2 linked regions of the Caenorhabditis elegans genome follow. The protein of the gene in region 1 purifies or fractionates together with the protein of each later gene. This does not show direct contact. Each region holds a gene or a part of one and is shown on either strand. Other genes may lie near its edges. The genes, in order: K11H12.1 and C35D10.6.

Region 1 (4,019 bases):
GTTTCCAGATTTCAACGCCCGATCTCTACTGTTCCAACTTCTTGAAGGACGTCAATCGGCTCGAGATTTGCTCCGTCATCCGTATTTCAAATCATTCCGCGCTCCACAGCACCAAACTGTCGAGCGAAAGCATACTGTAGTTGGGCAGAAAACTTCTGATGAAGTTTTAGGTAATAATAATTTTGAAATTTTTATCGATTTTCAATAAAAGTTTTTCAGACAAACTTCGAGAAGAACTTCAACGATTCAATCCATTCAACATGTCAGAGATTATGCTCTGAACATTTTTTTTTGTTATTTTTTTTCTATTATAACACGGGTTCTGGTCTTCCTCATTGAATTTTCCGTGTTTCATTGACAATCGCCGCCAAGGCGTGGGAAAGTCGTGTACTCCACACGGACAAATACATTTAGTTTTACAACTAAAATCGAGCCGCGGCGCGCCGTAAATCTACCCCAGATATGGCCGAGCCAAAATGGCCTAGTTCGGTAAACTCTTCCATTTCAATTTATGAGGGAAGCCAGAAATCCGTGTTATAAGAGATATATTCCCCCCACTAGTTCGAGTTTCATTCCCCCATCCATGCGGTTTCTTGTCTGTGGTTCCCGATTGAGAACGATAACTTTGAAGATTTATTTCTCATTAAAAAAAAATAAATAAATACTTGTTTCTTTTTTATTCTTCTATATATTTTTCATACTTTGACATGAAAAAAAAATTCAAAAATGATCATGTTATTTTCCAAATCCACCACGGCACGTCGGACTGTCTTCTTGCTTCTGTCCGTCCCACTTGCTGGTTGGAATAGCGTCGATTCGAAGCGCGTGGACAGTCGTGGCAAGCTCCTTGGCAAGACACGTGTTCACAAGACGATGTCTCTGAAAATCAACATTTTTTTGGGTTAATACGGGCTTCCAAATTTTGTGAAAACCATAGAAATTCGTTTCAAAAATTGTGCCCGTAAATCGACACAAGAGCTACAGTGGGGTCATTTAAACAATTACTGTAGTTTTCGCTACGAGATATTTTGCACGTCAACAGAATTTTTTGTTCTTATAATAACCATAATTTGGGTCTCGTTAGGTATTGGGGCCGCAAACACGAAACTTCCAAATTTTTGAACTATTTTCGCCAATTTTAGCGAAAATTTGCGATTTTTGCTCCAAAAATGCGGTATCATCCGGCGGCCTCGAAACTAAATTTTCTGTTACATTGGAAAAAGAGTGCGTCTTTAAAAAAATACAGTAACTTCAAAATTTTATTTCTACCGAGTTTTTATCGATTTTTCATAGTTTTTCTCGCGAATTTATGTGTTTTTATTGTTATGGGTTTTTTTAAATAAATAAATAATTTTTATCGAAAAATTATGAAAAGTCGATGAAAATTGCGCAGAAACGAGTCCTTGAAATTACAGTACTCTTTAAAGGCGCACACCCGTTTGTATTTAACAAAACTTGTCGTGTCGAGACCAGATATCATACTTTTAGCCACGAAATCGACAAATCCATGTTTTTAAGAAGGAATAAATTGGCGATAATGTTGAAAAAGCAAATGTTTTAGCTGAAAAATTGGTAAAGCCTATGAAAAAGTGCCGTTCCACGGCCTTTAGCGAGTTTTTCCATGTGTTCGACTAATCCATGTATCGATCTTTTTCCACCAACCTCGATGACACGTTTCCCCTCGAACTCATCACTGACAACTTGCACTCGGAAGTGCTTCTCGGCTCCTTTTGGAACGTTGTGCAGGTGGCTCTCGCATTCCACTTCGAGATGTTTTGGCTAGAATTCAACAGTTTCCTTCCGACATATTTAGAGATCAGTTTACCTGGAACGCGGCGAACAGCTTCTCCTTGAGAAGACGTGCTACTGGGCCTTCGCTCAATGTGCTCATTACTCTTTTCATGAAGACTGTGATTTTAAAAACTATTTCTTTTTTAATGTGAAAAATACAAAGATAAAACAATTAGGTTTGATAACAACCATTTCATTTTCGGAACAAGCCCAAAACAAAATAAAATAACAAGATTTATCGCTTGCGGTGGAAAACTTTGGTGTTCTTTCTCTTCCAGTTCTTGGCTTGGGATCCTCCGCGGGTAGCAGAGAAACGCCATCCCTTTCCGAGTCCACGAGACTTGCGTCCAGCAGAGGTGAGTCCTCTTTGCTCACGGTGCTTGTGAACTGGCTTGGTGATCCATTGGGTGTCTGGGTTACGACGGATAGCCTTGTGGAATGGATCGATCAGGACAACCTCGTAGAACTTGTAGGTGGAGTCCTCAGCAACCCAGTAGGAGTTGAGAACACGGAGGGATCCAAGACGACGTCCAGCGCGGCCCTGAAATACAACGAATTAACTTTGAAAAGTAAATGCTAATATCTGAAAATTTTGTTTAAATTGTCACAATGTCATGAATCCAATACACCACAAGGTGTTCGGGGATTACACAATGTTTTTCTATAGCCATCAGTGGATTAAGTCAGTACTATTAAAAACAGTCTGCTTTGCCCAGACACTGAGGCAACAATTTCATCTAATCATTTAATTCGTAGTAATCACCTCAGCAACGGCTTGCTTAGACTTGGCGTTCTTGAGCTCGTTAACTCCATGGGTCTTTGGCTTTCCGTAGGTTTGTCCCTTGCAGACTGGACGCTTTCTGTTTCCTCTGCGGACACGGACGCGGTAGACAACGAATCCTGAAAAATGAAATTTAATCTCAATAAATTGTATCAATGATATGAAACTGGAAAGTTCTATATAACTCAACAGGGATTACTCAATGAATTTTATATAGCCATCAATGGATTAGGTTGCTCAAGCGGGTGCAGGGCACCTTGCCCAGACATTGTGGCAAGTAGCTTTTAAAATTTTATTCAAATCTTTACAATCTTACCTTGCTTGGCACGGTATCCGAGACGGCGAGCCTTCTCTGGTCTGGTTGGGCGTGGGACACGGTGGACGGCGCTCAACTGTCTGTAGTGCCAGGTACGAATACGGAGCAAGTAGCGAAGAGCATCTGACTGCTTCTTGCGCCAGATTTCCTGCATATACTTGTATGCACCCATGTTTTCTGAAAGAAAAAAGGTTAGAATAACGAGATTGAGGGGTTGAATAAATAAAATTGTTGAAAAAGAAAAGTGAATCGAAGAATGGAACATAGTTTTTTAAAATTCTGGCTGACAGAAAATCTATTTCATCAAAGTCCCAACATTTTGGGCGGAATTCTGCGTAAAAATAACAAACTACTGATTTTTTGCCAGTAAAAATTAAAATTTTAAATTAATTTAACAAAATTCATGAAAAACCTAGGAAAACTTCACTAAAATTGCTGAAAAATCCAAAAAAATCGTTTAGGCCAACAAAACTCGTGTGTGAAATGAGAAGACGCTCTCATACACTTCGCATACACTCGAAACACGCTCCACAATGCAAACACCGTAGTCCGGCGGCTGGCCGTGTGCCAAGCCTCGTCCGCCGTAAATCGACACGAATTGTTTGTGATTTTTAATATGTTTTTCCTTGTTTTACAGGTTTTTTCAGGTTTTTATCTGGTTTTTTCGTATTTTTAATTGATAAAACATTATATTTAATCGAAAAATATCTATAAAATCAGTAATATTCGGTTTCTATCGAATAAAAAAGTCATTTTTCTCCCTAAAATGTGGTTTTTATTTGTAGAACTTTGGAAATCCGGCATAAAGCTATAATAAATGGTTTATCCCTTATTTTAGGCTACGTTATTTTCGCTAGACATTCTAAAACATCTAGAACTTTCTAAATTTCATAACTCCTCGTTGCATCATTTTTTCCCACGTGACCTCGGTTGTTTTCATCACAAACAAACACAATTTCCACTTTTCTCGTCGTATTCTCATCATTTCAGTCAGAAAATGTTGTCTCGTCTCACGATGACCGTTCCAAAAGTGGCGACTTTCACCTCGGGAGTCCGATTTTTCGCCAACACCGCCGCAAAATCAGCTCGTTATGGAGGAGGGCAGTCCGGATTCGGTTCTCGAGTAAATCA
Region 2 (4,046 bases), on another chromosome or scaffold:
TCGTGCCGATATTCTGCCTGGAATCATCTATATTTTAGCCTGCTTAAGTGAGTTTTTCTCTCGATCTCCTTAATAATTATTAAAATTTTCAGTCGTTACTGTTCTTTTCCCTGAACCCGTGTACAACGGTCCAGAGCAAGTGACATATTTCCAAGGTGAACAGCTTTTCGAAGAACTTACCAGAAATCGAAATACCATCTGGGTTATTCAATTCTTCACAACATGGAGCCCAGAATGCAGACATACTTCACCCGTTTTTGCGGAATTGAGTCAAAAGTTCACACTTCCAAACATGAAGTTTGGGAAATTGGATATTGGAAGATGGGCAAAAGAAGGCGAGCGGTTCCGTGTGAATGCTCATCCAATGTCACGACAGTTACCAACTATTTGTGTATTCAAGTAAGATTTAAGCTTTATTTTAATTTTCAACCAATCTGTAATTTCTAGGGACGCAAAGGAAATCGCTCGTCGTCCACTAGTCAACGATAGTCGTCGTGCTGTTCCATTTGTGTTCAGTGAAGAGAACTGTGTTCTTGCATTCGATCTTCTCAATTTGTACAATGAGCAGAAGGAGAAAAAAGGCGCGAAAGCGAAGAAAGAAGATTAAATATTCGATGACAGCTCAAAATTTCCATATACGACTCAATCACGAGATCTTTCAACAACAAGAAATAATAACTCGGCATTTAAAATTTATACATCTATTTAGAATATAGAGGATTATTTGTAGCTTTAAATTTATAATGATAAATGATTTTGGAAATCAAACCACTACGCGAGGATCCCAGCAAGTTTTGTGTTCGACAGTCAAAGCCAATAAACGATCGATGTCTTCTTGAGTAATCTGTAAATCCCAATTTTAGACATTAGGACTAAAAACCATCTAGAAACAGACCGCCAGCTTAGTAACTTTAAAATTGGTAGCAACATGCTCTGGATTTGTAGTTCTCGGAAGTACGCTAATTCCCTGGCAATAAGCAAATCCAAGAAGGAGCACAGGAATCTCGACATTGTACTTTTGAGCAAGTTCTTTGATCAGAGGTTCTTCGGATAATTGTTTACGATATGTTGGGCTGCCAAGGCTACTGTACGCCTGAAAAAAACTTCAAGAGAGCGAGATTTAGAAAAATCCCACCTGGAAATGAATGTTATTTTCGTTACAGTATTTGACCAGATCGTCCTGATGGAAATGAGGATGATACTCAACTTGATTGACTGCTGGGACAACATTAGAATCTTTTTTCAATTCTTCCAAATGACAAATCTCAAAATTAGAGACCCCAACTGAACGCAATTTTCCTTCAGCCATCATTTCACACATAACGTTCCAACTTTCCACTCTCAGTTTCTTGTTTGCCGGATTTTCGCTTTTCAGGGAACTTCCAGGCCAGTGAATGAGCAAAAGATCCAAATATTCGACTTTAAGATTGCTCAGTGACTCCTCAATGCTTTCCCGAGCTTTCTTAACGCCAGCATTAGATGGGGCTAACTTTGACGTGATCCAGATGTCTTCTCTGAAAAAAAGATAGCTTCAATTGGTGGCTCTGTGGTTTTATTGAATTTTTAAAAATTATTTCTCAATTTTGTAGATTAAAAGTGGCTGAACTATATTTGAATTACATAATATTGAATGAATAACCTAGTTTAAATTTTTTTAAATGTTTGCTTTGATTATTGGTTTAGAATATAATTTGTCGAATTTTTTTTCATTTTTCAATTTAAACATTTTTAGCGAAACAATTTGCTGAAAATTAGAGAAAATGGGTTTCAAATCAAAGAAACACCAAAACCAGTTTTTTCTCGCAGGATTAAAAAAAGATTTAGAAACAATTATAAATTTTTTAAAACCTACCTCTTCAACCCATTTGCTGGAAGCAATTTTTCCAAGATTCTACCAATTTTAGCTTCATTGTTATAGACTTGTGCCGTATCAATGAATCGATATCCTTCTTTGAAACCTGCATCAATCACTTGACGAAGAATTTCTTCTTTTTGAACCTTAAATTTATTTTTTAGTCAAAAAATTGATTTATTCGAAGTCAATACCTGCCACGTGCCAATTCCGATCAATGGCATGTTGTTCTTAACATATTCACGATGCTCCATTGATCCTGAAAAGCAAAACAATTACACTTGAAATAATTGTTTAAAAGTAAATAAATAACTGTTGGCTTCAAACCAAAAAAGACTGAAAAAAAAAACGATTTTTAAAAGGAAAAATGTATTGTGCAGCAAGTTTAAAATATGAAAATGGTAAGATGAAAATGAAATGATTAGATGTGTTACATGGAAAAATGAGAAAAATGACACAATCAAGAAGAGCATTCGGTCGGCGAATTTTGAGAAGTGGGGAGTAGATCTGAAAAATACATAGATTATTATGATTATCTGAAGTTTTCGGTTTTTTTTTTAATTTGGATTTTTAATTTTTTTTAAATTTATCGTTTTCGCATTTCTTTTGTGATATTTCAGAATTTCAGACTAACTTTCCAATTTTTCAGATGAAAAATGTAATTTTCTAATTTTTTTTCAATAATTTTCAGCCAACTCACTTCCATCGCGATCAAATGGGACTCCCGAAAACAACGTCCCGTCGATTTGTTTGATGCAAGACCATTCATTCTTAACGACATCATAGGAAAACAGTTGGGCGACATTGAGCAAGAATTGGCAGAAGATCTTACCTTTCGGTAGAAAATAATCCTGAAAATTAATTTTATGTAAACATTTAAATTCGAACAGAACAACTGAAATGTACCTTTTCAAGCATTTTTTGCAATTCTTCAAAAACTTTCAGCGGCTCAAAATTGTATTGCTTGAGAATTCGTTCAAATGCGGACCACATCTTACACTCTTTCGCCAGTTGCACCACACTCGGGACATCTTTCACTTTTGGAATCATACTGATAGCCTGCGAAAAAAATACACATTATATATCAAACTTTTGTGTTGTTTCAATAGTTAAAATGACCCTAAAAACCGAATTTTACAACAAGACTTCAAAAAAAAAAAAATTAATTTTTGAAACAGTCTCGTTATCAAATTCAGTATTTCGTGGCCATTTTACATTTTAAAAGTTGTAATACCTTGTCATAAAAATCGCCGAGACAATATCTATCCTTCGTTTCTCCAATATCCATGAGTGAAAAATTTGAAAAACAAAACCAATTGATTTCTTCATGTTGTTCGTTCACAAAACGCTCGATTCGGGCGAGCCTCTTATTAATGGCAGCTTCACGATCATCGTCAAACACAAAACTTTGCTTTGTTAGAAGCTTGATATCGATGTTATACTGCACACGTGTCGCTCTAGCGATCGCCACATCAAATCTTGTGACCCTCGCGGCGTGTTCCTCTTTGGTCAAACGTTCAGCACTCCAGTGCTCAATGGCATCTTCTGGCTTAAGTTTCATAGTTGAACGGAAATCATAGTAGGAGTCAATAAATTTCGTCAATAGTACTGTGCATTTTTTGAGGAACACGGCAAAGTCATCACAAATGTCGTCGGTTCGAGACACTTCCCCACTGATTTCAATTGCAAATTCTTGATTATCTTTGATTCCTCTCGAATTATGATCTGCTTCACTAGAAATGGAACAGACAGCTGTCTCATTTTCGAGCACTTCGGGAATGTTGTCGATGATGGGAACTTGTTGAACCATTGAAGAATGACTTTCAGAAGTAGAAGGACCATCTATGTACACCAAGCTATTGCGTGAAGACCTCCTGTTTCTAGCTTTCATTGGTGGTATTGCTACGAGCTTCGCCTTTCTTTCAACCTTTTCTGAAATTATTTTTAGATAAAAAAGTGCGGAAGATTATATATCAGTGGAAACATATTTTTTAAAGCTACATGGAAGGCACATGTGCTGTGAAAAGTTCCTATCATCAAAATAAAAGTGTCTCCCTACAATGAGCCTTTAAAGAAATTAATCAAAAATATGTAAAGCATCTGACACCCACTATAGCTATTACAGAGACAAATAAATGTTATTATTATCACAATACCTTTTTTCTGATTATGTTCCTCCAACGTTTTAATGAAA

What was found.
Region 2: the proteins of K11H12.1 (region 1) and C35D10.6 fractionate together in Caenorhabditis elegans (co-fractionation; one large-scale study listed by BioGRID). This does not show direct contact.

Annotation. Positions count from the first base shown.
Region 1 is NC_003282.8:651,512-655,530, forward strand, and holds K11H12.1 (Putative bolA-like protein K11H12.1), read right to left. Parts: upstream 1,911-4,019; 5' UTR 1,892-1,910; coding exon 1,826-1,891; intron 1,780-1,825; coding exon 1,663-1,779; intron 880-1,662; coding exon 736-879; 3' UTR 619-735; downstream 1-618. Other genes in the region: K11H12.9 (Protein kinase domain-containing protein), read left to right, coding at 9-170, 220-281; rpl-15 (Large ribosomal subunit protein eL15), read right to left, coding at 2,027-2,332, 2,555-2,691, 2,889-3,060; K11H12.8 (Growth hormone-inducible transmembrane protein), read left to right, coding at 3,886-4,019.
Region 2 is NC_003281.10:4,857,404-4,861,449, reverse strand, and holds C35D10.6 (NADP-dependent oxidoreductase domain-containing protein), read right to left. Parts: upstream 2,112-4,046; 5' UTR 2,107-2,111; coding exon 2,047-2,106; intron 1,999-2,046; coding exon 1,853-1,998; intron 1,515-1,852; coding exon 1,136-1,514; intron 1,094-1,135; coding exon 896-1,093; intron 845-895; coding exon 764-844; 3' UTR 678-763; downstream 1-677. Other genes in the region: C35D10.10 (Thioredoxin-related transmembrane protein 2 homolog), read left to right, coding at 1-47, 93-399, 448-607; C35D10.7 (ULP_PROTEASE domain-containing protein), read right to left, coding at 2,313-2,359, 2,553-2,703, 2,759-2,911, 3,087-3,784, 4,009-4,046.